Linked DNA regions of Danio rerio. The protein of the gene in region 2 purifies or fractionates together with the protein of the main gene of each other region. This does not show direct contact. Links are inferred from orthologs where the notes say so. Each region holds a gene or a part of one and is shown on either strand. Other genes may lie near its edges.

Region 1 (6,521 bases), on a different chromosome or scaffold from region 2:
AGATGCGTTTAAGGGATTTATTCAATGCCTCTGTTACTTACCTTGCATCAGTGCTAATTTTGTTCTTCTTTGTAATAAATTAGTTGTAATGCTGTTTTCCAGGTTTTCCCACCCATATCAGTATGAATTGGACCATCTGGTCATGCCAGAGAATCTGAAGTGTAAACCTGAAGTCCAGGTCAAAGCCTTATTCAGCTTTTCTCCCCTGACATTTATGTTCTTTTAACACTGCAAAAAACTGTTTTTGTCTATTTTTAGTCCAAATATCTAAAAAGTCTTAAAATTAAGAAGCATTTTCTAGACAAACAGAACATATATTATATCATTTTTAAGAAATATTATGCCAAAATCAAGTGAGTTTTCCTTAAAACCAGGCAAATGAATCCACCAATGGCGTAAGCTAAATCATTTTGTTTTTGCTTTGAAATAATATTTTTTTCTGCTACCCATATAGGCAGATTATTTTGCTTGTTATAAGGAACAGTTCACTTAATTTTGGCATATTATGTCTTAAAGGAGTGGTCCAGAGTGTAATTTAAGCCTTGGTTGTGTTCATAAGATGCAAAGCAATGTGTGCTCATGTTTCCTTTGTAGATAATCACATAATTTTTTTTCGTGTATCTTACTTAAAATATATACTGCTACTCTGCTAACATGAAAACGACTATCATATTAATAGTTTCTCCACAAGAGGCTCTGATTGGTCATCTTACATAATGTGCTGTGTAAATGCTGTCAGTCAGTGTAGCTGTAAGCCATATCAGACAGGAGGATACAGCTGAACCCCATCCCTGCTCCAAAATAAAACCTGAAAACTGTCTTTCATATATATATTCAGATTATGTGAATGTTTAAGTAATATGAAATGTTCACATATCTCGTGAGATGTAGTATGCACGGAAAGCGGCCGCATAGAGAGACCCTGCAGCGCAGCTGAAGTTTGTGGGTGTTTACAGCGGTTTGATGGATAAATATGAATTTGTAGCTAAATTGTTAGTAGTGCCAATCAGCATTTTCCGTAGTTTACATCCTTGTTTATGTTATTGCTACATTGTACTGTTTACGCTAGAAACTGTGCATGTAATAGATTAATTTTAACAAATAAAAACACAGGTTTTGGCTCAGTCCATAGCTTTTGCTATTATGGCTGGAGCTGTTTCTTTAAGGAGTTTTAAGCCGAATCCATCACTGAACTGGGAGAGATTCTTGAAGCTGTCCTTTGTCAAATGCTAGCTATATATTTTTTATGATTCTCTGGAACATGATTAAAATTAAACTGTAAGCACTTCTCTCTTTGTGTCATGTCATTTAGAAGCCTAAACACAGAAACAGAACAAGCTTTGCGGAAATAACAGTGTTTGGACAGCATTTTAGCTTTCTCCGCTATAACATTACAACACCTCTGGCCATGCCCCTTCACTGCACGGGGTGTGTGTAACCTAAAGGGTTTAAGATCTCATTAAACCAGAAGTATTTTTTGTAATCCCCAAACTTTGTTTGCTGTAGACTTTGCTAAGCTAACTCTGTAAAAGCCAATGTCTTTCTTTATATTGAACTTTGAGCATATTACATTTAGGGATGTTGTTTATGCTCACACAGTTACATTACACATCAACTAAAGTTTAAAATATTATATTGTAGTAGACCATCCCTTTAAAGCAAGACAATATGTTTTACTTGTCTTGAAAATGCTTCTTGGTTTAATCGTTTTTAGATATTTGAACTAGAAACAAGGCAAAAAAGCATTTTTGTTTGCAGTGAAATAATTGTGTTTTCTTTGTGTTTTAGATGTATAAACCTATTGACGAAACCCCTTGTCAGTTTATCAGTACTTTAGAAGACCTCGTTGCTTTGAATGAGAAATTGGCCAAGACCACTGAGTTCGCTGTGGATCTGGAGGTATGGGAAATTTCTATGATGCTGTTTAGTCTTCTGGATTACTTGTTCTTTTTTAATTTGCCCAAATTCTTTGTCCACAGCATCATTCCTACAGAAGCTTTCTGGGAATCACATGTTTGATGCAGATTTCCACACGAGAGGAGGATTTCATCATAGACACGCTAGAGCTACGCAGCGAGATGTACATCTTAAACGAGACTTTCACAGACCCTGCTATTGTGAAGGTGATGGACTTATAATATTACGCTTTTCTTTTTAAAGTTACTATAAGATCTGTACATGTTGATGACAGTTTTCATTAAAAGTTTTTTGTTCATTAATAACTTTCAGGATTTACTAAAGACATGCAGTTAAAGATCAGGAATTACAAGCAATAGACAATTTTTTTGGTGACCATATGCATTGTGTTTTTTAAGTCAGTTTTTTTTTTCAGCCAGAATATGGAAAGAGAGCATTCAAATGAATGATGAAGCAGTTTATTAAAGGCATAGCTCATCTAAAACTAAAAATTCTGCCATCATTTACTTGCACGCTTCACTTGTGACACCTGTTTTAGTTTTTTCTTCTGCTGAACACAAGTTGATATTTTAAAAATGTTGGAAACCTTTAACCATTGACTTCCACAGTTTAGTTTTTTGGTGCTATTTATTTTCTTCTTTCCTTTTATGTCCACTTAATTGTGATGTTAGGAGTTGCGCATATGGATCCATTACCAAGCCACATTACTTTTATATATGCTAGTCTTAGTAGATTGATGTTCATTGTGGAAAAGAGCTGCCACATCTATTAGTACTGGACACATAACAACACCGCTATATCCATGGAACACGAAATTGCAGACTCTTTGAACGAGGAAATAATTCACAGCCCAGACGGCCTGTTAATTTAATATTAGCTGGAACACCTGAAGGATGGTTACAGCGTGTTGCAATGTCAGCTGTCCAAAAGTCTACTTTAGAAAGTCAACTTTTTCTTTAATTTTTTGGACTTGTTTGAAAGCTTTTCGAAGTGGCAGTGTAGTTGTTTACATTGCATTAGCAAGGCAGCTACTGATGGGATTTGTGTAATGTTTCAAAAAGCTTTGTTGCAGTGGAAAATGAAATCGTATTCGTGCTGTCTGGCCCGGTTTGGCACGGAATGGAACAGTTCAGCATAAAAAACAATTCAGAATGATAGTGGAAAAGTTGCTTTTGTTTAGAATAATTGCATCGATCGGTGTGCACTCACTTAATATAACACACTCACAGCAATACTGTAATACCAATTGGTAAGTGTGATCGCAAGTAATATTGACTTTATCTAACAGTTCATTTCATGCTCAACATTGTCAATTTTTCTGTGTAGCTAATGAAAATGTTTCCAAAAGACCCTGGAGCTAAATATTTGGGTGCCTCAGAGCAACACCACATTGTTTGTCATATTCCTCAATGATTAATTTTGAACAAATTATCTGAGTCCATGATCACTCAGTAAGCCCGAGATTTGTTGCAACCTATTGGCAATTGAAGTATCATTTATTTAACACATTCGATGAATCATAATTTAATTATAAAAAAAAAATATCAAGATAATACTTTTGCCAGTATTCCACACAAACACCTATGCCGGTGCTCTTTAATTTCCGCATTGTGAGTGTCCATCCACTTTCATTCTCCTTAGTATAATAAATGTGTCACTATATTGTGAATACCTTGTTTCTGCAGGTGTTTCATGGGGCCGACTCTGATATTGAGTGGCTGCAGAAGGACTTTGGGCTTTATGTGGTCAACATGTTTGACACTCATCATGCTGCACGCTGTCTTAACCTCGGCCGCAACTCTCTTGATCATCTCCTGAAAGTATACTGTGACGTGAGCTCTGATAAACGCTACCAGCTGGCAGACTGGAGGATACGGTACATGCAACTCATTATGATCAGCACGATACACTTCCTATTTTATTTTTGCAAGTAATTTATGCGAAACTAAGTTTACGCCGTTTCTGTTTGTTTGATGTAAAAAAAAAAAAAAAAAAAAAAAAAAACTTTTAGATTGCATAAGTTTTTGCATTTAGGTATGGCAAATGAAATAGTCAACAAATCAAGAAAATAATTCTTAAAAATCTATTCGTATCTTCTCTAATTTGTAAATGGGGATTTGTTTGGATGCCAAAATGTGTCAGATGCCAAAACAACCTTTATAAAAAATGATTTCCACTTGGAATTATGATATTCTATCTTAAAGCATTAATTGATACATAATTTGATATTTGCAAATGTTACAATAATTAAGATATTTTTGTGTGGACATAAAAGGATTGTTGTAACAGTATATCAACATATTAAATAAATTAGCACTACATTTAACTTTGCATGTTTTATGACTATTTTTAACATTGTTTAAGTTCAGTTTAAAAAGACAGTGCTAAATATTTTGTCCAGTGAAGATGTTTTTTTTAGTAGACATATGGTGGGTTATTAAACACTTTATGAAACTGTTAATATAATTTTCCTGTGATACTGTAATATTTCTCTAGAGGTCAGTATAGCTAAAATAATGTGCTAACATTTATAGTTCTTATTAAGACCCCATTAATTCAACTGGGTAGAGTTGCACCAGCTGTTCAAAAAATCTTTCTTAAACTGGAACGTAAAGTCCACACTAGGGGCTTAGTAACTACTAGCTAGTTTGCAACTAAATTTTTTCTTACTTTGGTTGCACCACTTGTTCTCAAGGTAAACCGTAGTTAGGTCATTTGCTCTCTGTAAAGTCATGCGTAGTCGCATTGAATGACGTAATATCCAATAGAAAGCATTTAAATCGTTAAACTGCATAATTCGGCAACTAATGCATCTATATAGAACTTTTCTATGAAAATGAAATGACATTACATTTTTATAGTAAATTACAGTCAGTCATTAATAACAGGTTATGCATATACCTGAATGCACGCGAAATACACATGAAGTTTTTTATATTCTTCACATGAAAGAGAAAAGAGCAGGAAGAATGACTCGGTCATGAGGTTTTTGTTTCAACTGATGGATACAACAAACACAAAAGACTCCTTAAAAGAAAATTAAACTCTTCTTTCACAAACAAAAAAAAAGTGTGAGATTTGGGAAGAAATGAAGGCTGTGAGTAGAGGGAGGTCATTCTGCATTATCATCGCGAGCTCCTCTATGTAAACTAATATCGTCTCTTTTCTACTGTTAAACAAGGGGGAGGCTGCTGTAAATATTTAGTTGAAACGTAGCGCTATGTTTAAAGTAAGTTCAGTAGTGCAACACACAAATATTTAGTAGTGCATAAATTGTAACTTGGTGTCCCTTTAAGTCACAAATAGGCTACGTTTTAACTTGCGCATTGCTGGTGCAACAGGCCCCTGACTGTTTTACAGCTAAGTCTTAATATTGTTGAGTTAAAAACGACAAGAAAGTTAATTACATTTTTAATCGAAATTGATAATTTTTATATAGTCAGCAGCTCTGTTTTTGCTAGTAATGGAAAATGCAACTTTGTTTCTATTAAATCTTAATGGCACAAAATGCCTTTAAATCTTATTAATAGACTATTATTTTCAAAGAGTAAGATGTTTATGAGCTGCATTTAAAATTGTAGATAATCTCCACAAAGCTGAGTGCTTAATTTCTGCATCTTTTGGTTCAAAAAAAGCACTTTTCATTGTTTTCAAGCTCACTATAGTTCTCTCCACTGGCTAATTTCAATTTTAAACACACACTAAAAGTAATAGCAATCATTTTGGCCTTTAGATAACCCTGTTTGGTGGTCCTTTTATGTGCATTCAGAGTGCTGATAGGCTCATGAAAATAACCTTAGTCAAGTTAGAGTTTGATTTTTGTACAGAGGTACATGTTGTTTTTTTTAAATAAAAATTTGAACACCACATAATGACAGAATTAAGTGTATGTATTATGCCTGTAGGCCGTTGCCAGATGAGATGTTGAAGTATGCTCAGGCTGACACTCACTACCTGCTGTACGTGTATGATCGGGTCAGAGCAGATCTGTTTGATGGGGGCAACGGGCAGGCCACCCTCATTCAGCAGGTCTGGACTAAAAGCAGAGACCTTTCGCTCAAGGTATGGACACATTTCAACATAAACTTAAAGTGCCTCGTTATGCTTTTCCTGGTATTACTCTTCAAGTAATGTTCATTTAAATTAAAAATCAAATAAAGTGTTTTTAGTGTAAACATTTGTCATTTCTATTCATTTATTTTGTATTCTCCTAATAAAATAGTAAGCTATGTAATATGTTTGAACTGTTAATATTCAGCTTTCCACATAAATAACACGTATAACATCACATCCATCCATCCAAAATAACAAATCAAAATAACAAAAGTCATAATGAAGGACATAATGTAACATGCGAGGATGTAATGTTTTTTTATATATTAATATTGACATGAAATTGCCACCAGTTGCTGATATGGCAATAAAGAAACAAATTTAAACTTTATGTAAAGTTCAGAGTCATATGTGCAGAAATAGCTAATTACAAAAGCTAAATAATCATAGATTATGGTCGGTAAGTGGTCAACAAATCTCAACAGACTGGCTCATTTAACCAATCAGAGCAGGAAACACTATGAGAAAGGCAGGGTGTAACAAGAACGGAC
Region 2 (6,333 bases):
AACCACATTTACAATGTGCTTGTTAATTGTACTTTCATGCTTTGTTAATGATTCATTTTTCATTATTAAATTAAGTTTGCATTATTTACAAAACAGTTATTTAAGCGTAGGTTGTTTTTTAGATCACTCAGAATGAGTTAGTAAATGATAAATATTCAAATTAACATTTAGAAATCTTATTATTTAGGTATGTACTAATACTTACTTTGTACGTTAACAAATGCTTTATTAACTCAACTTCATCCAGTTTGTCGACAGCACTACCTACTGCGCCACTGCAATGCCAATCATTACAATATGAATAATAAGATATTTAAACATTGATTTAAATAATTTTTTAATCCTTTACTAACTCATTCTGAATGATCATAAAAAACCCCAACTACACTTAAATACAAACTGTTTGTAAATAATGCAATACTTCATTTAGTAATGAAAATCAACCAGTCACAAAATATCAAAGTGCAAAATTAGATATAAATAAAAGTTTAATCCATTTAATAATACAATAATAATAACTTAATAAGGTCAGGTCATTATCTTTAGCAGTAAATAAATGAAGAACTTTTAAACAAATGTTACTGTGAAGAAAATAATTACTATTTTTAATTAAAAAGTTAAAGTTTTATTGAGATTGGGATTGTATAGGTAGCTACACAGAAAAACAAAACCTTATGATTAAAGACCTACACACAATATTTCAGTAGATTTAGGCCCAATCCCAATTCTATTTTTGTACCCCTAGCCCTTCCCCTTGGCCCTTACAATCAAGGGTTAAGGAGAAGGGCTTCAAAATTTACCCTTAAGAATTGGGACAGCACTACAGCACCTGCACACGTCATTTTATGTAATCGTGATCCTGTGCTTCTTATGAGATCAGATGATCGCGACTGCTGTAGTTATTCCAGTTGTGCTATTTTTGGGTTTTTATCTTCAGGAAATCACATACATTGTCATCATAACGATCTAATGTGGCAATAAGATGGTAATATTCATCTATGTAAACTATGTAAATGGCCATATTTATCTATGTAAACACACGAAAACAACATTAACATCATAGCAGACACTGTAAAAAGCTCATTCTCAGCCACTACACTTTTCTGACAGGGTATTCGAGTGTCAGAATGTTGTGGGACTGCTGTACAGGAGTTAAGATTATGGATTATAGATTGCTAAATTTAGCAGGTTTTTTAGCTTTTTTTTTTTTAAGCGTAACTGTGAAACACGAATGCGGTTATGAAAGTATTAAAATGTGTTTGTTTGTCGTAAAAATTCGTAATAATGAAAAAAAAACTAATTTGTGGATCTCCTTACTTCCCGGTTCAGCAATACTGCCATTTTGGCTGGTGTATTCTGGGAAATTTTCTTACCCCTTGGTTTTGAGTGTGGTCCTGAAAAATCTTCATTCAAAGGGCTATTCAACCCTTCCCCTTAGCCCTACATCTTCAAGCTGAAGAGAAATAGGACAAGGGGCTAAGGAGTAGAATTGGGATTGAGCCTTTAAAATGTTTTAAGGCCTAAAATTTAGATTTTGAGATTTAAGATATTTTAAGACTCTTTAAGAGGATACTCTGGTTCAAAAGCCTGTGAGACATTTAATGTAAAAACACATGTTAATTTTGTGAACAAAAGTTAGAATGACAAGAACGTTCATAAATCAACAATTTTGAAAAATAAGGAAATAAATAATTGCAAGACTTATACGCCACAATTATTATAATTTTTTTCTTAAAATTCAAACAAAAAATGCTTTAATTTTTGAAGTCATACCTTTTTCCTTAGGACTGTGAAAGGCAAAAAATTATAAACAAATCTTACAAATCAGAGTTCCCTTTTTATGTTGTCATTTTTCCTAATTGTAATAAACCTTAAAATTGAGAGCATTTTTTTTTATTTAGTTTGTTTCAAAATTTAAAAAAGATTTTAAATTTAAATTTCACAACTCTTTGTTTTTGGTATAATTTGTGAAAAAAAAAAACAATTGTATAAGTTAAAGACAAACAAAATAATTAATTATGATTAATTTTCACTAATAAATGATTATTATTAATGTATAAGAATTATTTTATGTATTTTTTAAATAAAGTACAATAATTGAGTGTATAATAAAAATATAAGTACATGAAAAGACACTGCAAACTCGAGTAAAAAAAATCCCAACGCATATTTTATTGCATCTTTGAATATCGCCGCTTGACAGAATCCCTATAAAACTGGAAGATTTGCTCCGAGGCCTTCTGACTGATAGCGATGCACTGCTGGAGCTGTGTAGGAAGAAAACACATTTATGTCACTGCCTTGCAGAGAATTCCAGCAGGTTATGAAACATACACAAGTACCTATGTATCATCCACACAAACAGAGCAATGAATCACACACTGGAGAATCAAACACTCACCTCCTGCACTGAAAAAGAGCCTGTAGTCGATGACATCAAAACATTGCGCTCATTGCTATCAATGGCAAATGTTAACAGCGCTCGACTTTCCTGGAAAAGAAAGCAAAAAAGACACAGATCAAAGGTTTAGTTTACTCGGGATGGTTCGTGTCGGCTCAAGGGAACAGGAAGTGAAGTGTACCTTTTCCTGTCGAGCTGTGGGGTCAGTGATTATCTGGCCCTCTTTGCTAATGGCGCAGGTCACACTACAGAAAAGGCGGCTCATGGGCAGCCCGGCATCCATTAGAGCCATACAGGCAGCGTTTAGACAACACGACAGCAGCTGACGGTTAGATAAGGACTCATGGTGTAGGGACACAGTGTGAATGAAAGAAAACGGGACAGAGAAAACAAACAATATTAATGCACACTAAGAATCTGGGGTCAGTCTCTGAAGTTGCTTTATTCATTTTCCTTCAGCTTAGTGTCTATTTCAGAGGTCGCTATAGAGGAATGAACCACCAACCATTTCAGCATATGTTTTACACAGCAGATGCCCTTCCAGCTGTAACCCAGTATTGGAAAACACCCACACACACTCATTCACACTCATACACTACGGCCAATTTAGTTTATTAAATTCACCTTTAGCGCATGTCTTTGAACTGTGAGGGAAACCAGAGCACCCAGAGGAAACCCACACAAACACAGGGTGAACATGCCAACATACATGAATGCCAACTGGTCCAGCCAGGACTCAAACAACCAACCTTATAGCAATAGTGCAAAATAATAATACAAATTAACAGTGTAGGGTAAAGTTTCTTATTACTGTAAAGTAATAAATCTCATTTGTTTTTAAGGAAAGTAATGTAGTACAATTTTTAAGAATACTCTGTAAAATAGTAAATCACGTAATTTCCATTTTCTTTTACATATTTATTTATTTGCAGTTGGAAGGACATCCGCTGCGTAAACACATGCTGGATAAGTTGGCAGTTCATTTCGCTGTGGCGACCCCAGATTAATAAAGGGACTAAGCTTAAAAGAAAATGAATAAATGAAATAATATTTATTTATTATGTTTTGATAATTTAGTTGCATGTTAGCTACAAAGAAATATATACATTAACATTAACTAATACATTTTTAAATTTTTTGGTAGTTTAACTAAAATATAAAACCGATTGTTGAATAATTGTTTTATTGTTATTTATTTTTTTTTACAAAAACTGGTATTTAATACTAAAATCATGTATAAGTACATACCGTACATACAGTATCCTTATCATTACTTACCAACCACCACATTCACCATTTATTTGTGTGTGTGTGTGTGTGTGTGTATATATATATATATGCACTAAGAATTAGTGCCTGTTTTTGATTAATGACATTTTTGGAAATAGTTAAAACTTTAAACCAATTTATTCAAATCTTCAATCTTTTGTACTCTATATTGCCACCTTTTTTTATTTAATGCATTTGTTGTAATATCCATTCATTTTTTTGTCGGCTTAGTCCCTTTATTAATCCATGATCGCGACAGCGGAATGAACCGCCAAACTTATCCAGCATGTTTTTTCACGCAGCGGATGCCCTTCCAGCTGCAACCTATCTTTGGGAAACATCCACACACACTCATACACAACGGACAGTTTAGCCCACCCAACTCACCTGTGCCCCCTCTTCATTTTGCATTTATAAAAAACTGTTTTGCTGGTGTTGGCAGCATAAACCCTTTAGATAGGTCTGTTCAAAAAAACCTTTTCTAGCTTTTATATGGAGTTTATTGAAGCATAACAGCAAATTATAGTAAGGGTGCATAAACACACCATGTTTGCTATGTTTTGAGAGCTGAGATGCTTATTTTAATTTTCTCAGACATATCAAGGTAAGTACGCAAAGGTGCTCTTACACTTGGTTACACTCACACAATACTCTATATAAAAGCCAGAAACTAATGCTTTTTTTACACTGCAACTAATGGCCAACAGTAAAAATTACTAATTGTACCTCTTCTCAAAAGAGAAAAACCACCACCAATCAAGAATGCATAACAATATGGTTTCATGACTTTGCAATCAAAAAAATGTCATTATAATGGAAATCAATAGGGCAAAAACAGCCACTAACATAACGAAAAGGACCAGTGTAGTAAACTTGCCCTGCTGAGTCTATTGTTGAGGTTTTTTTTTTTTTTTTTTTTTAAATTGCAAAAATTTGTCAAAATAAAATGTCACCAAAATCATTCCGCTTGCTGAAACAAGTTGTGGCCAAATTAAGACTCAAAATAACCCCAGAGTGGATGAAAACATTCCTAACAAGCGTTAAAACATAATAAAATTGAAGAGTATTAAAAGAAGCCAATTATTCAAATCTTCAATTTTTTTGTACGTTTAGTCTATATTGCCACTTTTTTCGTTTTAATACATTCATTGTAATAAAACATACTAATCTTTAATACTCAACCCTAAATATTCAAAACAAACTCCTCCCTTCAACGGTAAGTGACTAAAAAGTTCAAACAATAAAACCACGGACACATCATATTTGCCCCCTCTTCATTTTGCATTTATAAAGAAGAGTTTTGCTGGTGTTGAGGATACAGATCCATCATCGTGGACGACCTGCAGGATGACCGTGAGAGAAGAGCGTGGATGAAGGGTCAACAGAAGGGCAGCTTCACAAGTCTCACGGACACACTGCTCTCTCGCTCGCTCGCGGACACCTAACACAACACATCGCACCACAGTATGAGGAAGTTTAAAAAAATACTGTACCAGACTGACACCTAATGCTGAAACATGGCTGTGCAGGCCATGCAATTATAACTATGTTTACTATTCTAGTATGAGCTGTATATGTGTATTATTAAACATTAATAATAATAATAATTAGTAATAATAAAACACTGACTAAATAAAAACAATTTACATAAACGACACACATTTTTTATGGCATAACATTTTCTTCCTGACATGTAGTTTTAAGACTCCCTTTAAACAGTTTATACTCATGTAGGTAATTGTTTCTTATATTATATTAAATAAAAAAGTGACAAACAATTCATATTTATGTTGCATTAGTCTGTGTTATATTGGGTGTAATTAGTAACTAGTAACAAAGTGGCTAGTGTTTGGTCTGGGACATATTAGGTGTAATTAATTACAAAGTAACGTGTTACTGTAATTACTTTTGTACTGAAAATGTAAAGTAGTAGGTTACTTTTCATGGATGGGTAATTTAATTGCAGTTACTTCTAACATACTTGCCTTAAATACTGTAAATAAGTCCAACAGTTTTGAATAAATCAATTCAAAAAAGCAGAAGGAAATGTGTCCAACAACTTCACATACTTAAGAAACAATGAAATGTTTTAGAAATGCATGCCAATATATCAAAATATTAGTCATCTGCATACAGTACAAGCTACTTTTTACTCAGTTAAATTCATTGAACTGAATATAGATTGGATCCATTCAAAATTCAAATGTCTAACATTTTAAGAGAGGCACGTTTTAAGACAAAAAAAAGCAATATGACAATGTTCAAAGGTGATTAGGGGATTTTCTTTTAATAACACTAAACAATTTTGCTATAATAGAACTTTCCTGAAATAACCGAAAAAAGCCAGTGCAGTTTGCTATCTGTAAATTATACATATTTCTGCTTTAAAAAAAAAAAAACTAAATCTTTTTTTTTTTTTTTGAACAAGAAAGATGTTTTATCCCAAACTAACCCAAACTAATGGTGCACACCAGCTGCTTTTCCAGTGCACAACTGGCATAATGCACATAAAAGATTCATGCCTGATATTTGTATATATATTGTATTTTGTTATTTTGTAAAAACTTTAGATTGTTCAAAAGATGTGCAATGCGTTTCTATTATTTAATTATTAATTATCTGTATCAGTCTTTCACATTATAGCTGATATGCTAAATGCAGAC
Region 3 (5,730 bases), on a different chromosome or scaffold from region 2:
ACTACAAGAAAACAAACACCAACATTCACTCTCCCCTCCCGAGGCCTGTGAAATGTAACGTGAGCTGAGGCTAGATTCACTGTTAGCTTGCCTGCTGGGCATCTTTGTGTATTCACTTCATGTTTGTGTACGTTTTGAGGGAGAAATTGCACTTCAGTCTGATGGTTTCTGTCAGTACAATCTGAAGGATCCAGTTCCAACAGGCTCTTACTCTTTGATCTAGAACAATACAAACATTGGCATTAACAAGCATCACATCTTACGATGTACAATCAAGTACGCTTTTAACAATTTGGTGTTTTAGTTTTACCTCTGTGACCACTCCTGCAGCGATGGTGGAGCCCACGTATCTCAGCATGAACCGCCCCAGTTCTTTATAGTCCTTATAAAGCTCCATAGCCACAGGTCTCTGTGTCTGAATCTCCACCACTGCATTCTGTCCTTTACTCAAACACCTGCACGACAGTTAAAGGGTTAGTTCATTCATTCATTTTCTTTTCAGCTTAGTCCCTTTATTAATCAAGGTGTGCCACAGCGGAATGATCAACCAACTCATCCAGCATATGTTTTACACAGTGGATGCCCTTCCAGCTGCAACCCATCACTGGGAAACACCCGTACACTTTCATTCACACACATACACTAGGGACAGCTTCCCCAATTCACCTATAGTGCATGTCTTTGGACTGTGGGGAAAACCCACGCAAACATGGGGCTCGAAGCAGCAACCTTCTTGCTGTGAGGCCACCCACTGCACCACCGTGATGCCAGTTAAAGGGTTAGTTCATTCAAAAATGTTAATTATTCCATAATTTTTTTTGGTGCATTAGTGCCACCAGCAGGACAATACTGTATATAGTCTGACTCTCTTCAAGGTGCTTCAGCATTCATTTTAACTGTGCATACATTTCACACTCAAGAGACAGAAAAGTGCAGTCCTGATGTTGCTAATGCACCAAAAACTGCACCTCAAAAGATAAAGTTTAAACAAGATGAACCTATCTGCTTTCAACTGATAACAGGAAGGTTCATAGAAAGTAAACTAGAAACATGCATTTTGTTTGAAGAAATTAAATCATGGTAGGGCTGTAACGAATTAAGGTTGACACAAAGTTCGAAACATACGTGACCTGAGCATTAACATTTTTAATTTTTTTGTAAGTTGATCCAACATTTATAACTATGGCAGAGCGATCGCCCCCAGCGTCATTCAAATTACGTGTATGAAAACAATGGCATCCCTGTAAAATATAATGATGACTGAAAAAGTTGTGGTGGGACCTACCTAAATGCTTTCTTAGGTTATTAATTAAAGGTGTTTTCTGACACTTCTTTAGCCTGCATTAATGCATTCAGTTTAAGCTGCACTATTAAATTTAAAAGATCGTGATTTTAATTCAAATCCACGCAACGTGAATGATAAATGATCTAATGCGAACAGTGAGATTTGTGATCCATTACACCACTAAATCATGGGATACATTTTAAAAAGATAAGCCCTAAATAATATAACTGTAATTTGTAATTATGGACCCTTTTTCACAAGACTGTTATGATGCATTTAACCGTCATTAGCATCTAAAATCCTCTAAAGTTTTAATATTTAATTAAAAAGAAAAGTATGTAGATTTATATGTATTATATCATCTTTGAATCAAATTACAGAAAACAAATTACCACTTGTGTGAGGCGTTTGTTATGCAGAGTGAATGGGGCAGGAGAGTAAATTTGACATTTTAGGTCTCACCGATTTTATTTCCGTTTTCTGAAAGTCTTGATAACACCATTGTTGAGTTTTTTATTTTGTTATTTCAGCAAATAGGATTGTAAAAAAATATATGTTTGCTGTACTCTCCCATTCAATGCACCTTAAGTTTACCCAACTATGACAAATTCTGCTACTGAGAAACCCGGAAATGTGAAAAGGGTCCATTGTTAAACTTCCTTACTATACCCATGCAGAATAATTGCATTGTGAATATGATGTATGAGCAGCTTGCACAAGTGCTCTGAAGTTGCTGCACTACCTGATTTGTCCAAAATTTGTCTGATGTGTTTTTTTGTTTTTGTTTTGAAACGTTTTACATTTTCATTGTTATGTAACGTGGAAGTGTAAATGCGATTTTAAAGGTACTGCGGGAAAAAAAGGTATTTCAACAAACAATGGCTTAAATGTATGTGGTTATCACACGAAAGCCCCCTTTGATAGAAAGCTTATTAATTGTGAAGACTGAAGGTGCTGGGAGTAAATACCCAGCAATCTCACCACCCTTAATCCCATGGTTGAGGTGATTCCCTTGAGCAATGCACAGAATCCTCAACTACTTCCCAGGCGTTTGTGTGTTCAAATTCTGAGTATAGTTAACCATTCTTGGCCACAAGTCACAACTTTCTGCTGCAAAAGGCATGCATGGAAAAACCAAGCGGCATGATACAAAAAAAAATACATATGTAGCGTTGGCTTCTCCACAATATGATATACATATGCACAATGTCATTTTTCTGCGCTGTTAAAAACCCTTTAAAAAGAAACTGTTCCTTAAAATCATGTAACATTTTAGATTCTAGAATCATCCGTCCACTTACTTTGGTTTTTTCTTGAGAACTTCTCCACTGCTCTTGTGTAATACACTGACTAACTTCCTAATGGTGGCCGGTTCACTTACAGTCTGATAATGCAACAGGACCTGCCAATCAGACACACACACACCAAATACACAAATATTAGCAAACACACTTGCACAAGAACCCACAAGAAACATGCAAAGATATTTATATCTAAAAAGCCTGAGAGATGAAATGTTTTCTCACGGGGAAGCCTTGAGTGATGGGAAGTTCAATATTAAAGAGGAGGATTCTTGCTCTGAATCGCGTGCAGGCTCTAATGGGCTCTTTGGGATCACAGAATACACATCCAACACTAGAGAAAGAAGCAAGAAAACATACATGATTACACAGAATCAACCGTGTCCGTAGAAAGTTTTTAATCATGTATTACGCAACATTACATAATCAAAACATTATATAACCGAACTGTTATAATATACGTTAAGGAAGGGATTGCTTTCGACGCTAGTGTTTCTACACACACTCACTTTATTTTGATGATGTCCATGCCTGTTACAGTCAGACTGACATGATCACCAGCCGCTGCCCAGTCTAATGCTTCATCATGAAGACTGATCCCTAGATAGAATTACAATCCATTAAGATTGCATTAATAAAAAAAAATAACCAAAAATGAGTGTAGCACCACTCTAGCCTTTAGCGTTACAAAATCCATCATAAATCATATTTATATTTTTTTAATCTGGTGCTCAATAAACACTTATTTAAATTTTGCATTAAGGTTTCATTAACTAATGTGAAGTATTTACTAACATGAACTAACACTGAACAACACAGAGCATTTATTAATCAACAATGCATTATTAATTCCAAATGCACACTTCTTAACATGAGTTCTAACAAACAGCTTAACAAAAAACAGCTTTATTTTCATTAACTAACATCAACAAAGATGAATGTAAGAAATGTAATGTATTGCATATTGTTTGTTTAATTGCACAAACAAAAACACCTTAATAAGCTTATTATAAAGTGTTACCAGTTTATTATTCTGGTTTTAAGATTCCAAGAGAATCTAGTTGAAATTAATATGTTAAATTCTTAAATTTAATATGTATCGATTTAAGTATTTTTTTAAGTATTGATTATTCATGATTAACTACACAGTATATTTCCTCAATTTCCAGAACAACAAAACTAAGCAATATAAAAACTACTGCAATGACTTTTTATTTAGTCCTAAAGTTTATAAAGACTGTGTCATAACGTTAGTTTTGCAATCTTAGTAGGAGAGAAATAAAAAGAAAAAAGCGAGTAACAAAATTTGTTAAAAGATTCAGTCATTATTGCGAATCTGTCTCAACTAGATTTCAGTAACTAATAACTCTTTTTTACAATAATTTTTTTATGATGATATTTGATTGATTATTTTTTCCCCCAATTTCTGTTTAATGGAGAGATTTTTTTCAACACATTTCTAAACATAATAGTTTTAATAAATCATTTCTAATAACTGATTAATTTTATCTTTGCCATGATGACAGTAAATAATATTTTACTAGATATTTTTCAAGACACTTCTATACAGCTTAAAGTGACATTTAAAGGCTTAACAAGGTTAATCAGGTTAACTAGGCAGGTTAGGGTAATTAGGCAAGTTATTGTATAATGGTGGTTTGTTCTGTAGACTATTGAGAAAAAAAATATAGCCTAAAGGGGCTAATAATTTTGTCCCAAAAATGTTTTAAAAAAATAAAAAACAGCTTTTATTCTAGCAAAAATAAAACTAATAAGACTTTCTCCAGAAGAAAAAATATTATCAGACATACAGTAAAAATTTCCGTGCTTTGTTAAGCATCATTTGGGAAATATTTAAAAAAGAAAAAAAAATTCAAAGAGGGGCTAATAATTCTGACTTCAACTGTATAATGTGTGTGAGTTTAACTATTACACCATTACAAATATTAATATAAAAAGCATTTATTTAATTCACGTTAAATTATAAAAATAAAATTGTAAAATATATATAAATATTTTAATACAAATCTTATTTTTGAATATTTATTTTATAGCACATATTTTACTAACATATATTAATTAACATATATATTAATTATTACAATCAGTTACCCATGTGCCATGTGTTACTATATTGTTCCACAGAGATGTTTAATAATATGTATCTGTTTTCAATTAGCAAAAATCAGTGTGCTAAATTAAAAAAAAAATATTTTTTATTAAGTTATTCAGTGCATTAAACAGATAAACATGTACACTGGCCATATACACTCACCGGCCACTTCCAACTGCTCGTTAATGCAAATTTTTAATCAGTCAATCACATGGCAGCAAATGATTTTGAATGTAGCATGATTGTTGTTGCCAGACGGGCTGGTCTGAGTTTTTCAGAAACTGCTGATCTACTGGGATTTTCAAGCACAACCATCTCTAGGGTTTACAGAAAATCATCTAAAAAAGAGAAAATATTCAATAAGCTGCAGTTCTGTGGGAGCAAATGCCTTGTTGATGCCAGAGGTCAGAGGAGAATGGCCAGACTGGTTCCAGCTGATAGACAGCCAACAGTAACTCAAATAACCACTTTGGGTCAACGCCATAGCCAGTGAATATTGTTGCTGACCATGTCCATCCCTTTATGACCACAGTATGTACCCATCTTACCATCATCTCAGACTGGTTTTTTGAACATGACAAGGAGTTTACTGTACTCAAATGGCCTCCTCAATCACCAGATAGTAATCCAATAGAGCACCTTAGGGACATGGTGGAATGGGAAATTCACCGCATGAATGTGCAGCCGACAAATCTGCACGAACTGTGTGATGCTATCATGCCAATATGGACCAAAATCTCTACGGAATAATTCCAGAAACCTTGTTGAATCTATGCCACAAAGGATAAAGGCAGTTCTGAGGGTAAAAAGGAATCCAACCCAGGTCCAGTAAGGTGCACCTAATAAAGTGGCCGGTGAGTGTATATTTTGCATGCTCTATGATTAACATCCATTTCTTCTTTCACACGACTGGTCTTTCACGAAAGCACCAGAGGAGGGCGCTGCTGCCTAACACCCTAAAGCAATGCATGTTTCTAGAAAGTGGAAGCTTTTGTGTTTACCTTTAACAGTGCAGGTCTCATTAGGCGGCA
Region 4 (7,266 bases), on a different chromosome or scaffold from region 2:
AACCCCTTACAGATGAGGGGATACATTAAAAACTTAATAATGAAATTATTAATATTATCTGAAATTATATATATATATATATATATATATATATATATATATATATATATATATATATATATATATATATATATATATATATATATATTATGTAAAAACATAAAAAAAATAAAAAAAATAAAATTATATATATATATATATATATATATATATATATATATATATATATATATATATATATATTTATATATATATATATATATTTATATATAATATACATAAAAAATAATACAAATAAATAAATAAATAAATAAATAAAAGGTATTGCAATCATAATTACTTTACAGGGGATACATTTGTAAATCAGTTACATTGTGTTGCATTGTAGTTACCTTAAATTACAGTGATGATAGGTTAAGTAACCTCTAAATATACATATCTAAATATGTCGTAATAATTTTCCACCTCTTTAGAAAAATATCAGTATTCATTAGTAGACATGCAGTCATTTGTTTCCATTATATAGACCTGTTTAAGTCTCTGAATCCACTGAGCCACCTTTGGAGAACTTTCTTCCATCCAATGTACTGTTATCATTTTTTGCAACCAGTAATAATATCCTTAGGACAAATCTTGCTTCTCCATTGAACATTTCTTTGGACAGTGCTCACAGTAAGCACATAACTGGATCGAGGGGTATTTCTATATCTAATATATTATCTATTTCTTTTTTTTTAACATTTTTCCAAATTTCTTCAATCTTAGGACAGTCCCAAAAAATGTGGGTATGATCTTCAATTTTAACAAATCTTAAAATGTTTTTTTTATTTTATTAAAAACTGCTTTTATTCTAGCCGAAATAAACCAAATAATAATAAAAAAATATATGTGAAAAATTAATTGCTCTGTTAAACATAATTTAGGAAATATTAGAAGAAAACTCACACGAGGGCTAATCATTTTTACTTCAACTGTATATATTGTGCAGTCCTAATAAGAAGACAGAACCTAAGAAAACAAAGAAAACACTATAAACTTACTGGACCATTAGCTCCTCTGCTGCTGTGAGAAAAGCATCCGTCTCCTCATGAAGTCAGTCTGACATTATGGAGATGCTGTCGGCTCAGATCCCAATGAAATAAGACGTAAACACTGTGGACTCACAGCACTGAAAGAGACAAGAGAAAACACCTCCAGTGCTTAAATACATTGAATTTCAGAGCGGCAGACAGAAGCACGTGAGTCAGTTATTACACAGCACGCTCTGTTTTTATTCACGTCCTGCTGAAGGAATGCTGGAGTGATGCTGCTGCTCTTTACAACACACTCACATGCTCCTGGACGCTTCTCAGTCACATGAGAACTGACTGACGCTTACCTAGAAGACTGCAGACACTGACAACATACACACTGTGTCACTGAGATCCACGCTTCAATATACAGTAGCTACATATTATTATTATATTAATATGATATAATATACTATAAAATATTTTATATATTACACTTTAATACATTTTCTGTGTTTTGAAAGAACATTTGTGATAAACTGTAATTTCATTCATTCATTTTCCTTCAGCTTCGTCCCTTATTTATCAGGGCTTGCCACAGCGGAATGAACCGCCAACTATTCCGGTATATGTTTTACGCAGCGGATGCCCTTCCAGCCTCAACCTAGTACTGAGAAACACACTCTCACATTCACACACACTCATACACTACGGCCAATTTAGTTTATTTAATTCTCCTATAGCGCATGTGTTTGAACTGTGGGGGAAACCAGAGCATCTGGAGGAAACCCACACTAACACCGGGAGAACATGCAAACTCCACACAGAAATGGCTTAGCTGGGACTCGAACCAGCGACCATCTTGCTGTCAGGCAACAGTGCTAACCAATGAGCCACCATGCCATCCAAACTGTAAATTTATATATATATATATATATATATATATATATATATATATATATATATATATATATATATATATATATATATATATATATATATATATACAAATAAATTTTGTTATAATAATGTATTACACTACATTTTGATTTTATGATAAAACTTTTAATGAACTGTAAATTGTAAATATAACATATAATATAATATAATATAATATAATATAATATAATATAATATAATATAACATAATATAATAAAGTACAATAATAATTTATATATATATATATATATATATATATATATATATATATATATATATATATATATATATATATATATATATATATATTTATTTATTTATTTATTTATTTATTTTTTTTTTTTGGGGTGAAATTTTTTTGTGACCTGTATTTATAACATCCTTATATTTTTATTATTTTTATATATATATATATATATATATATATATATATATATATATATATATATATATATATATATATATATATATATATATATATATATATATATATATATATATTCACAAATAGTTGTGAATGTTTCCAGAATAGAGTTCTTGCAAATTACCTCTTCAGAGATAAAAAGCAAAAAACTTGTTTTAAATATTATTTTTACATGGTTCATATTATAAATGAATGATTTTATTAATAAAACTTGAAATGGCACATGGATTGAGTGTGTTGCATCTTATAAATATTCAGATGTCTGGCTTTAGCGTTAGGATTTTATTTTCTTTTAAAAAACTTTTTTTTTCCTTTGAAACTCGAAAAATGTTTAAAACTATAGAGATTGTTAATTAATGGATTAATGAGTGATGTTCCTGTAAACAAAAAATATATATATTAGGAAATAAAAAATGTAATTAAAAAGTAATTAATTGCTAATTACATCATTGAAAATTTATTTAGATTAGATTTCTATTTAATTTGTCTGAATAATGATGTATACACATAACTTAAATTAACTTATTGAACATTATTTGTATAAAACGCAATGGAGTCATACTTCATAAATACCATGTATTTCTGTCAGTAAATAATGTATTACTTATTGTTTCTTCCGCATGTGAAGTGGTTAAACAAATAAAACTTCCATAATTGATAGTAGAACAACAACAACAACAACAACAAACTCCTGAAAAAAATCTTCTCTGAATTGATTTACAGCACTCAAGGAAAGCACATCGTGAGTAACTTTATTAAATAACCAAAAAAACTATTTTTTTCACGAAATTGGATATGTAATTACAGTTACTAGTTACTTTGTAGTGTTTTGCGCTTGTCGTCAGAGAAAGAGAAAGGAAGTAACTTATAGGAGAGTGTGTTTTTTTATGTGTGACAAAATCTGTACAACCAAGAAAACAAATGTGACTCAACGTTTAGCTACAGTATTACAGTATGTATTAATAACAATAATAATACACGTAACTTACAGCTGTTAAACGGCTTTAACGACAGTATCACTACAGGTAACGTAGAAGTCTCGTGTTTATACGATATCGCTATCAGCTGACTGTACATGACTTTTATAAATGTATATCAAGTTATTCATTCAAACCTGACAGAAAAGACTGAACTGTAATAACAGCGTAACGACAACTTTAACTGAATATTCACGTAGGTATACTCACCAATAATTTATTTTTAGCTAAATTCATCTTGTAGAAGCTCCTCAGATAAACAATAACAGTAGGGAGGATGACCGTTTTGAGAAGTACACAACAACACATTAGTGTACTGGACTCTTGCCAAACATGAATAGCACTACTTCAAATTAAAAGTCTCGTGACACGTTAAAAGGCATGTAAGCAAAGCAGGGGATTTCTCAAAGCACCTGAAAATCAATAAAGAAAAAAAGGCTCAGTAAGTGAATTAAAAAGGAAAAAAATATATATAATATATTATATATATATATATATATATAACAACGTACTAATTTTAACTAGATAGATAGATAGATAGATAGATAGATAGATAGATAGATAGATAGATAGATAGATAGATAGATAGATAGATTAGATTTTCAGACTTATCTTTAATGAAAGTTAAATTGAATAACTTTTGTTAATAACTAAATCTACCATGCATTAAACTGTATATTTGTATGTAATCTGATATGTACCCTCTCCTCCTTTTTAGTTAATATTTTTATTTATTTAAATGTTTTCTTTTCTCTTTTAATCCTTCTTGTTAACGAATGTGAAATGATTTTGTTGCACAATGAAAATAACAAAAAACTGTGCAAGTTTAAACTGACCCCCAGTCCGTTAGGTGGCGATAATGCTAGTCGCCATTAAAGATAAAGAAAAATAAATGTTTTTCGCGTGACTTTTATTTTGAAAAACAAGTGTATTGACCGTCGCTTATTTATTCTTGGCTCAACGGAGAGGTATTGATGTGTGCTTGATTACATTATAGCTCTCTTAAACAACCTAAACGAACTTCATATGTAATTTTACGTTGATTTTGTGTTTAGTAAGCTGTCTCAGGGTTTTCTTTACAACACAGGACAACAAGTGTGCGATTATAACTCGCAGACACTGAACACGTGCATAAAGCTTAATCTCCATATTGTCGCTCATGCTGAATTTGCACAGTTGTTAGAAATATATATGTATTGTACTTCTTATTAATTTGGTAACTTACTGCTTTTTAATATGTATCTGCTGTCCACAACTGAATTCTGAAGCATTTTCCCTCGTTTTCCTAACAGCCAAATATCGATTTTTAGGTAAAGTTGGGGTTATATTCGCACATTAGTTCATTTTTAACAGTCTCTACATAGTTCGCCATGTTACTTTAAATATTCGGTCTGAAATCTCATTTAAGTATGACTTCAAGTTCAAAACAACATTTGCACGATTTAACTTGGTGAACAATGTTGTATTTTGAGAGTCATTGGCTGATAATGTGATCTCCCTATTTAGAAATAGCAAATAATATTTTTCTGAAAATATATTATTAAGAAGAAAGTCTGAATGTGTGAATAAAAAAACAACTTTACCTCAATAATATTGACTACAAATCCCCAAAAATAACAAAACGGTTTAATTTAGCAGTTATGCTTAGATCCGTCATTTCAAAACGCATATTAATTACTGTTTTTTTAGGCCAAAGTTTGCAGGAATCATGAATTATCTTAAATGGTTTTTATTAATATATTCTTATGTTACCATTCAGCTGACAGACCATGGCTGATGATGCTGCAGTAGAGGATTATCCCACTGAAATCGAAGACAACCTGAATGATTTCGACTCTTCTTTGAGCTCTGTCCAGAATATGGTCCAGACACTGGTGTCTGTATCCAGAAGTGACCGTCTGCTTAAAGTATGTATAAAATGTTTATATGAAAAGCTGATAAATGAAAATGGCTTAACTATCATGTTTAACCTGTTTTTTACTTCATAAAGTTGGATCCTCTTGAACAAGCTAAACTGGATCTGATGTCGGCATACGCCCTCAACTCAATGTTCTGGAGTAAGGTTCTACACCCTCTTTTATTTGTCTTGTAAAATTGAGGTTAGCATGATATGACAAGTTTCACTTTTTCTTTCTAGTGTATCTTGTGACACAAGGAGTCAATCCGAAAGACCATCCAATCAAACAAGAACTGGTAAGAGAATACTGTCGGTTTACTTCAAACGTTTTTTTTCTGTGACAATGTCAGACTACAATCTCAAAGTCTATGGCGCATAACTCAAATGTAAAGTGGAACTCTATTTAAAAAAATTAGAGTTTTTAATTTTTAAATTAGTGGCTTAGTGGTTAACATTGTCGCCTCACAGCAAGTAAGTCGCTGGTTCGAGTCCCGGCTGGACCAGTTGGCATTTCTGTGTGGAGTTTGTATGTTCTCCCTGTGTTGGCGTGGGTTTTCTCTGGGTGCTCTGGTTTCTCCGAGTCCAAACACATGCAAACTTTTTACGTACAGATATAGTAAAGATCCAGGTTCCCTCTCATCAAATATTTATTACATCACAGATTTATACGTTTACATATTATACATGTATTTAAACATTTATTATTATATACGTTAGCTCCCTTATATCGCTTAACGGTTTAAAACCAAGAGCATACGCTATGATAAAGGTACATTTCGCACAAATGTAAACAGCCTTTCCTAAACCATGCTAACGTATGGACAGTCACCCACATTCGTAAATATAAACGCAATTTTTGTGGAAAAACGTATATCCTTTATTACGTTTAGAGTGTGGAGCGATAGATGTCGGTCCACGAGACAATAAACAGCCGCTGTAAATGGTAAATGTTGGCAAAGTTTTCAAAGAGGTAGTGAAAACTGTAGCGCATCTGACTCTATTGCTCCTGCCGGAAGTAAGGATACGCAACTATCGCCCAACCGGATGTGCGTGCTACCGTCCGTGAAAAAGGCCTATAGGTAAATCGAATAAACTAAATTGGTCGTAGTGTATGAGTGTGTTGGTGAATGTGTGAGTGTATGTGTGCTTCCCAGAACTGGGTTGCGGCTGGAACGGCATCCACTGCGTAAAACATATGGCGGAATAGTTGGTGGTTCATTCCGCTGTGGTGACCCCTGATGAATAAAGGAAGTAAGCCAAAGGAAAATGGATGGATGTAATGCATTAAGGCTACAATAAGCAAGATATTTTACTACAAATGTAAATTCTATGGTGGATTACTAAAATTTAAAATGGAACTCTACAAAAAATGTTTGAGAATTTATAAAATCTGTGAACAAAAGATCAAAAGTACAGGGCTTGATATGTAGACGTATTAAAACATTGCTGCTGCCTTAATTATCTTTAGTTAACCTTTTTAGTTATTTCAAACTACATCATTCATTCATGCATTCATTTTCTTGTCGGCTTGCTCCCTTTATTAATCCGGGGTCGCCACAGCGAAATGAACCGCCAACTTATCCAGCAAGTTTTTACGCAACGGATGCCCTTCTAGCAGCAACCCATCTCTGGGAAACATCCACACACACACTCATACACTACAGACAATTTAGCCTACCCAATTCACCTGCACTGCATGTCTTTGGAACTGCATGTCTTTGGACTGTGGGGGAAACCGGAGCACCCGGAGGAAACCCACGCGAACGCAGGGAGAACATGCAAACTCCACACAGAAACGCCAACTGAGCCAAGGCTCGAACCAGGGACCTTCTTGCAATGAGGCGACAGCACTACCTAACGCACCACTGCTTCGCCCCACTACTTATTCAGACTGACAAAAACATTAAGTTACACTTTAACTAAAGAAATTGTTGTTATGACTTTTTTGCCATATTTTTCTTGGTGTATAGTAGGGCTGCACGATGTTGGAAAAATCTGACGTTGCGATATTTTGTTTT
Region 5 (7,133 bases), on a different chromosome or scaffold from region 2:
TAGCCAATTCATAACACACCAATCAGACCATTCCTAAGCACCATAAATAACCTAATGTCCATACAACAGCCATCTTCAATTTGAAGAATCCCCCCTTCCACCCCTACTCCTCCTCCATCCTAAATAGGCGGCACGGCGGCCCAGTGGTTAGCACTGTTGCCTCACAGCAAGAATGTCACTGGTTCTAGTCCTAACCAAGCCAGTTGATGTGTCTGTGCGGAGTTTGCATGCTCTCCCTGTCCTTGCTCGGGTTCCCCCCGGGTTCCAACGTTTCCTTCCACCACCAAAAAACTTACGACTTGAGTTAATTGCCAAATCCAAATCAGCATCATAGACATGCTCCTAGTAAGTAGTTATCTCTTAAGAGCACTCACTATCTGTTCATGAGCTACTACAGCAGGGGAGTTCTCCACATCTACCTGAGCTCAAACTCTCCTCTCGCCCTGCAAAAGGGACAGAGCCCCAGGCTCGAGGATCTTATGAAATCAGCGATCTCTCCTGGGACAGCAAGCTGTCGGGGGAGCTGCCCTCTCTGTTCTGCCGCCCTAGACGTGGATATAAGTGAGGGCGCGGGTGGTGAGGGTAGTGTCGCGGACGCCGCCCTAGAAGCAGATATAAGTGACGCCCTCTGTATTCTGCCGCCCTAGGCGGCTGCCTAGGTCGCCTCTATGGACGCGTCAGCAATGTTTCACATTGTCAACAGCCCAAGATTTTCGCTGCTGGCACCACTGAAACTGACGTTTGGCATTGGCACAAGTGACCAAAGGTTTATCTATAGCAGCTGGCTATGTATGCTGACTCTGTGGAGCTCCAGACCAACAGTTTTGGTGGAAACAGGAGAGTTGAGCTGCACATTTAGTTCTGCAGGGTTGGGCAGCTGTGCTCTGATGTTTTTTGTTTTTCTACATTTCAGTCTGGGTAAAAATTCATCGTCTCTTTTTCCAAATGTGTCCTGCAGGTGTACCAGGTTGTGGTTATTCGCTCGGGTAGTTACGACTGTGAGCGCGTGGCTATCGAGCGCCGCTATTCAGACTTCCTCCACCTCCATCAGGAGCTCCTGTCCGACTTCAGCGAGGAACTTGAGGACGTTGTGTTTCCCAAAAAGAAGATGACCCGAAACTTCTCTGAGGAGATCATCGCTGAGCGTCGCGTAGCTCTGAGAGACTATCTGACCCAGCTCTACTCCCTCCGCTTTGTCAGGAAATCCCAAGCGTTTCAATCCTTCTTCACTCATCAGGAACTGAAATCTGCATATGATCTCCTGAGGGGGGGACGCTTCTCCCGGGCCCTCGAGGGCCTCCAGAAGGTGTTGGTGCTTCAGGAGAAACTCTCCTCTCATGATGCTACGTTAGTGATTCCGACATTGTGCGCCATATTGGTTTGCCAAAGGGATCTAGAGGACTTCGAGGCTGCCTTCGAAACTGGCAGAAAAGCTTTGCCCACAGTGAGGAGATATGAGCTGCGAAAGCATCACGGGCCCCTGCTGGAGGCTCTGGTTGATTTGGGGTTCAGTCTGGAGCTGCCGGTGGCTCAGCTACAGGACGAGCTGATCAGAGTTAATGACTCTCCATGTGGGAAAGAGACACAGATGTCTCTTAAAGAACTGGTGGTGCAAGAGTTTGTATGATTTTTTTGTGTGACTAAAATGATTATGAGGCGAGTTTCACTGCATTTATTTAATTATTTTGTTGTCAAAATGTACACAAATCTAAATTCTTTAATAACTTACCTCGAGAACCATTGATTTCTTGAATTTATGTAAAGGAAACACTGAAAGAAACACCAAGAAACTTGACTTTACCTTCAATCATTGACTTTTCGGCTTAGTCCTTTTATTAATCAGGGGTCACCACAGCTGAATGAACCGCCAACTTATCAAGCATATATTTTACGCAGTGGATGCCCTTCCAGCTGCAACCCAACACTGGAAAACATTCATACACACTCTTTCACACTTATACACTGCAGCCAATTTAGCTTACCCAATTCCCCAATTCCTGCATGTTTGGAGTGTGGGGTAAACCGGAGCACCCACAGGAAACACACGCCAACACGGGGAGAACATGCAAACTCCACACAGAAACGCCAACTGACCCGGGACTCGAACCAACGACCTTCTTGCTGTGAGGCTACCCAATCATCATATGCTGAGATTCAAATGAACCTTGAAATATTGTTTGATTGTACTCAACTGAGTGTTAGCTAAAACGTTAAATAAAAGTGGTAATTATGACGCTTGAATATACAGTATACACCATATAATTACCACATTTGTATTTCAAGCTAATTAAATTGCACTGCAAAGTGTTTTAAAGCACACAGTTGAATTTAAAAACGTGAAATAAATATAAAACAGTGCTTTAGTTCAGCTAAAGTAATACAAATGTGCTTAAAGGGGCCTTAAAATATATAATATTATAATATATATTAAATTATTTTAGAACAAACATATATTAACCCAATATTTGACTATAATGTGGTGAAAATAACTGTTAGTTACGCTATTACACGACAATAAATATGAATAAAACAACTTAATGCTATAACTAATGTCTGTATTTACAAAAATCCTCAGTAAGAAAATAAATAGCAACTTTTAAGTCGTTTACAGTTGTTATTTGCCAGTAATGAACTGTAACAAGCGAAGTTTGTACACAGTAAAGTAAAAACTCACCTCAGTAATGACTCCTTTCAGTGATTGAAGACGAACTGGCGTGTTTAATTAGGTAAATTTAACCATACAGGAAAGGGTTAATGCGCCACTTCAGACGAAAGCAATAAATTGTCGATACATTCGACAAAATTGTATATAGCAAATCAAATTAAAGTAAACGATACCATATAATACAGACTAACATTAACTTAAACGCTTTATTATGCGATTATACTTCAAACATAAGTAATAAATCTGAAATTATTGTCAGTGGATGTGTGTTGTGCGACTCGTCGAGTCTTGCACATGTTGCTAGAGCGCATGCGCAGAGTTCATGCGGACTGCTATTTATTTTAGCAGCTCGTGCTACGCACAGTAATGCTGCCAGTGTGGAAGACATAACTGTCAGAAAAGCTCGCTTTATCTCTCTTCATTCACTTAAAAACGTGTAGTGTTAGTTCTGATTTGAAATGGCGAACGATGGTGGAGCGAAGCTGTCTAAAAACCTCCTGCGGATGAAGGTAAATAATGTTAGCCGACTCTCCCAGTGTCGGAGGAATATGATGAGCTCGTGATTGGGATCGTACTAAAATGTCCTCGTGTTTGAGGTCGGTTTTGTTTTGATATGAACTGAATGCTGTAGATCACTCGCTGCAGAACACGTGACTGATAGACAACAGTCTGTCTCTGTGTGTGTCTGTTCATCTGTGTCTCTGTCCATTATTTTATCCGCCATATTGTATATCCCATTCGTTCTGTCCATTTTTTTCATCCCTCTGTCTTTATACTTGTCTGTCTTACCATCTGCCTTGTTGTCTTACTTTTCATGTTTGTTTACCTCGTCCTTTGGTCTTTCAATAAATCTCTATTTCCATCTTATTTTTTTTATCTGTCTCTCTTTCTGTCCATCTTTTCTTCCATCTGTCTTGTCATTTGGTCTGTTCTTGTCTTTCTGTCTGCCCATCATTTTTATCTACCTCCATGTGTCATTTTATGTCAACGTCTTTCTTCTGTTTATCTGTCTGTCTATCTTTTAATCTGTTTTTCATCTGTCTGATAATCTGTTTTTGTCTGCGTCCATCTGCTTGTCATTTGGTGTCTGCATCTTTTTTCCATCTGTCTGTCCATCTTCTCATCTGTCTGTCTGTAGTTCATGCAGAGAGGATTGGATGCGGAGGTGAAGAAGCAGCTGGATGAGGAGGAGAAGCGGATCATCAGTGATGAACACTGGTTTCTGGATCTGCCCGAGCTCAAGGCCAAAGAGTGAGACTTCAACAACTGTTTTTTTTACTCTTATCACGGTGCTTGTACACCCAATGAATGAAATAGTGTATGACAACAAATATCTGTGGAAACCCATTTCTGGTGCATAAAAAAGCCTCAATCAAAAACATCAAACCAATACCTAATTATACTAATACTCAATTAAAGGGGCAGTTCACACTGAAATTAAAATTGTCATCATTTACTGCACTTTGATTTATTCCAAATCAAAACAATTTATATTTCTTTCAGCACAAAATAAGATATTTAGAATAAAGCTGAAAACCTGTAACCAGGAAAAACAAATACTATGAAAGTCAATAGTTACCAGTTTGCAACACGCTTTAAAACATTTTCTTTAGTGCAGTTAAAAATTATTTAATCCCAAAGGTTTAGAATATTGACCAAAAGCAAGCAAACAAATAAATAAAATTCAGACATTTCCAATATGTTATATCTAGATCAATGGATCCAAAACCACCAGTAGGTGGCGACAAATACCTGACTGATTCAATAGTGTTTCTTCCCATACTGATAAACTTCCGGTGAACAGTTAATGTGACTTATTTCTAAGGGTGTCACGATCCTAAAGATTCTAAAGGCACGATTCGATTTTCGATTATGAATGATTAATTAATGACCAATTAATTATTTGTAGCCTACCGTTTAAACTACCTGACCTGCATGGTCTTTGTTTTACCCATAAACAAATCATACAGTAAATGAATAAAGGCAAGATGCACACATAATTACCTCCTGTCAATCACTTTTTCTGCGGGACTCGTGAATAGGCAGTGATCTGTGTCATTATAATGGCGTCTGTAAAAAAGACGCACAACCAACAGGAACCAGCCAACAGTGTCTGAGGTGTTCGCTAAAATGACAAAGTACAAGTGAGTGAAAGATTGAAGCAGTCCTCTGACTGCCTGGACCTGCTGTCTCGAGCGCATGGCTGTGTGTGCATCTGTGTCTGTGTGGTCACGTGATGTGCGTTTTCAGAGGTAATGAGGAAGGAGGGCTGCTCAGAAATGCTACACGCCACTGTGGATGTCAAATCGTTGTTGTTCTAAAATGCCATTTAAAAACAAAGACAGTGTAAACAGGGCCTGAGTGTGAACTTTTCGCGAGCGGATTTGCAACGGGGGCGGGCGGAGGATCGCGATGCTGGTGTTGTCTATCGGACGAACCATACGTAATACGTATATAGCAGAGCTTGCAAAACTGTGTTTTTTTTTTTTGTCGACAACACGAACGTTGTCAACATAACTCACTGGAAATCCAAAATGCTTAAACACCGGCGACTTCATTGAAAGAGGAGAGGGTTTAAGCTCTGTCGACGGGTCTCCTGCTTCTGCAGTTTAACAAGCACTTCAACAAGCCTGTTTTTTTCCCGCTTGGCAAGCCAAGCTGACGTGACATCGGGGCGTGGCAGCATCGACGATTCTATTTTGTAATTCGATAATCGAAATTGAGCATAAATTTCGATCGATTTCGATTAAGAATCGAAATCGTGACACCCCTACTTATTTCCATTCCTTTTACAGCATCTATGTTGTACTGCAAATAAAATACAATCAGTTAAATAGACCCAAGCATTTATTTAGTTGATCAAGCGCAAAACGAGATCAAAAGTTGTTTACTCGCACACGTCAGAATCAGCAGGCTAGCGCAGAAGCTCCATTTAACATACTGGGGTAAAATAAATGCTCATATTATAAAGACACGACGGGGGAAATGTAAATTAATGTAGTGTTTCTTGTACAATCTGAGACCCGCTTATATCGTATATCAATTAGGCATTGAAGATGGTTGATTTTTAAAGAAAACAGGCCTTTTTGTAACTGCATACAGTAGGACTGTGCGATAAATCGAATCACAATTTGAAATGTTGCGATTAGCTTATCACAAGAGGCTGCGATATGACATAGATTTGTATTTAATTTCCCACGCCCCGAGCAAATGCATGACTGCAGTCTGCGTGTGACAAGTCTTACAAGCCAATTAAGTGTGCACGCTTTCATCCTGCCCAATCAGAATTGCACTGCCGGATTATGGGGAACGCCCACAATAAAACAAACAAACAGATGAGTGGGATGATGGCGTCTTCCGCATTAATAGACTAAATATTATTAAAGAAAAAAACGCACGTCAGTGATATGGGAATATTTTGTTCACAGACACCAAACAAAAAAAGGTTATTTGTAAGAGCTGCCGCAGGATTGTTGCAGGCATGAGGAAATACAACCAGTACCTAAAATGTCTACAATATTAAATTGCAAATCAAATCTAAATATCTGTTAAAAAAATTTTGCAATTAAGATATTTTCCCCAAATTGCACAGCCCTAGCATACAGCGTTTGAACCAGGACACTTTAAAATGAAAGTCCTAATGCATGTACCCCATTAAAAATGATTCTAGTTCTAATGCAGTCTGACATTAGCAAATATTCGTTGCCTTATGGATATCTGATGGTTTATCAAAATGTCTCTTAAATTGACAAAATTACAAGGTATTTTTAACTTTGCCAGAAACCACATCATCGAGGAGAGAAGTTTCGTTCCCTGTGAGGATCTGGTTTACGGCAGAATGTCATTCAAAGGCTTCAATCCTGACGTGGAGGTACAGCTTTCATCCGTTTACAGCCGTTTGCTTCCGTTTTGTTAACTGTTCTCAATTATTGTGTTCACGTTATTGGAGCATAATCTGAAGAATAAGCTAAAGGCACAATATGTATGATTTTATTTGTATTAACATATTCAAAAGCCACTTGAACAGTTTATTATATCTTTATTTTTCACTCAGTCATCAAAACACACCTTTGTTTGTTGTGAATACACGCCCTCTAGTGGCTAAATTTACATACTGTGCCTTTAACAATGAGCTGAAAATGCACGTCTTGCTCTAATTATAGCCACTGATAGCCACCTGTAATCTAAAGTGGGGTTTATTCATCACAAGTCTGAATCTGTTGCAGAAATTAATGTTACTAATGAACGCACCAAGAGAGGAAGAGGATGAAGAAGAGGAGGACGAGAGCATGAACAAAATGGAAACCGATATTACGGATGAAGAGATGGCCAAAAGGTGAGCAAGGACAAATACATCTGTAATCTACACATCTGTTATATATATATACGAGGATAGTGATGAAATGAAGCGTCTAAACAATTTTACCAATTACTTCGCTAAAGCAATTCGAAACCGCACATGCTAGAA

The links.
Region 1: the proteins of exosc5 (region 2) and exosc10 purify together in Homo sapiens (co-immunoprecipitation; 8 studies listed by BioGRID and IntAct, with this or other methods). This does not show direct contact. The link is inferred for Danio rerio from reciprocal best matches to the Homo sapiens genes EXOSC5 and EXOSC10.
Region 3: the proteins of exosc5 (region 2) and hbs1l purify together in Homo sapiens (affinity purification with mass spectrometry; 3 studies listed by BioGRID and IntAct, with this or other methods). This does not show direct contact. The link is inferred for Danio rerio from reciprocal best matches to the Homo sapiens genes EXOSC5 and HBS1L.
Region 4: the proteins of exosc5 (region 2) and c1d purify together in Homo sapiens (affinity purification with mass spectrometry; 4 studies listed by BioGRID and IntAct, counting the BioPlex papers as one, with this or other methods). This does not show direct contact. The link is inferred for Danio rerio from reciprocal best matches to the Homo sapiens genes EXOSC5 and C1D.
Region 5: the proteins of exosc5 (region 2) and mphosph6 purify together in Homo sapiens (affinity purification with mass spectrometry; 6 studies listed by BioGRID and IntAct, with this or other methods). This does not show direct contact. The link is inferred for Danio rerio from reciprocal best matches to the Homo sapiens genes EXOSC5 and MPHOSPH6.

The regions. Positions count from the first base shown.
Region 1 is NC_133198.1:16,322,219-16,328,739, forward strand, and holds part of exosc10 (exosome complex component 10), read left to right. Parts: intron 1-102; coding exon 103-178; intron 179-1,788; coding exon 1,789-1,899; intron 1,900-1,979; coding exon 1,980-2,123; intron 2,124-3,602; coding exon 3,603-3,793; intron 3,794-5,822; coding exon 5,823-5,979; intron 5,980-6,521. UniProt on the Homo sapiens protein: Catalytic component of the RNA exosome complex which has 3'->5' exoribonuclease activity and participates in a multitude of cellular RNA processing and degradation events.
Region 2 is NC_133193.1:38,978,685-38,985,017, forward strand, and holds the end of exosc5 (exosome complex component RRP46), read right to left. Parts: intron 5,112-6,333; coding exon 4,990-5,111; intron 2,724-4,989; coding exon 2,583-2,723; intron 2,492-2,582; coding exon 2,402-2,491; intron 2,268-2,401; coding exon 2,172-2,267; 3' UTR 2,145-2,171; downstream 1-2,144. UniProt on the Homo sapiens protein: Non-catalytic component of the RNA exosome complex which has 3'->5' exoribonuclease activity and participates in a multitude of cellular RNA processing and degradation events.
Region 3 is NC_133198.1:34,711,066-34,716,795, forward strand, and holds part of hbs1l (HBS1-like protein), read right to left. Parts: coding exon 5,701-5,730; intron 3,187-5,700; coding exon 3,096-3,186; intron 2,921-3,095; coding exon 2,812-2,920; intron 2,688-2,811; coding exon 2,587-2,687; intron 456-2,586; coding exon 311-455; intron 220-310; coding exon 208-219; 3' UTR 1-207. UniProt on the Homo sapiens protein: GTPase component of the Pelota-HBS1L complex, a complex that recognizes stalled ribosomes and triggers the No-Go Decay (NGD) pathway.
Region 4 is NC_133188.1:5,048,936-5,056,201, forward strand, and holds the start of c1d (nuclear nucleic acid-binding protein C1D), read left to right. Parts: upstream 1-2,595; 5' UTR 2,596-3,116; intron 3,117-3,171; exon of another isoform or gene 3,172-3,399; intron 3,400-3,561; exon of another isoform or gene 3,562-3,648; intron 3,649-4,288; exon of another isoform or gene 4,289-4,661; intron 4,662-5,110; 5' UTR 5,111-5,120; coding exon 5,121-5,258; intron 5,259-5,341; coding exon 5,342-5,408; intron 5,409-5,488; coding exon 5,489-5,544; intron 5,545-7,266. UniProt on the Homo sapiens protein: Plays a role in the recruitment of the RNA exosome complex to pre-rRNA to mediate the 3'-5' end processing of the 5.8S rRNA; this function may include MPHOSPH6.
Region 5 is NC_133200.1:38,540,490-38,547,622, reverse strand, and holds the start of mphosph6 (M-phase phosphoprotein 6), read left to right. Parts: upstream 1-3,030; 5' UTR 3,031-3,123; coding exon 3,124-3,174; intron 3,175-3,803; coding exon 3,804-3,916; exon of another isoform or gene 3,917-5,154; intron 5,155-6,346; exon of another isoform or gene 6,347-6,398; coding exon of another isoform or gene 6,399-6,445; coding exon 6,446-6,536; intron 6,537-6,891; coding exon 6,892-7,001; intron 7,002-7,133. Other genes in the region: snx20 (sorting nexin-20), read left to right, coding at 959-1,627. UniProt on the Homo sapiens protein: RNA-binding protein that associates with the RNA exosome complex. Involved in the 3'-processing of the 7S pre-RNA to the mature 5.8S rRNA and play a role in recruiting the RNA exosome complex to pre-rRNA; this function may include C1D.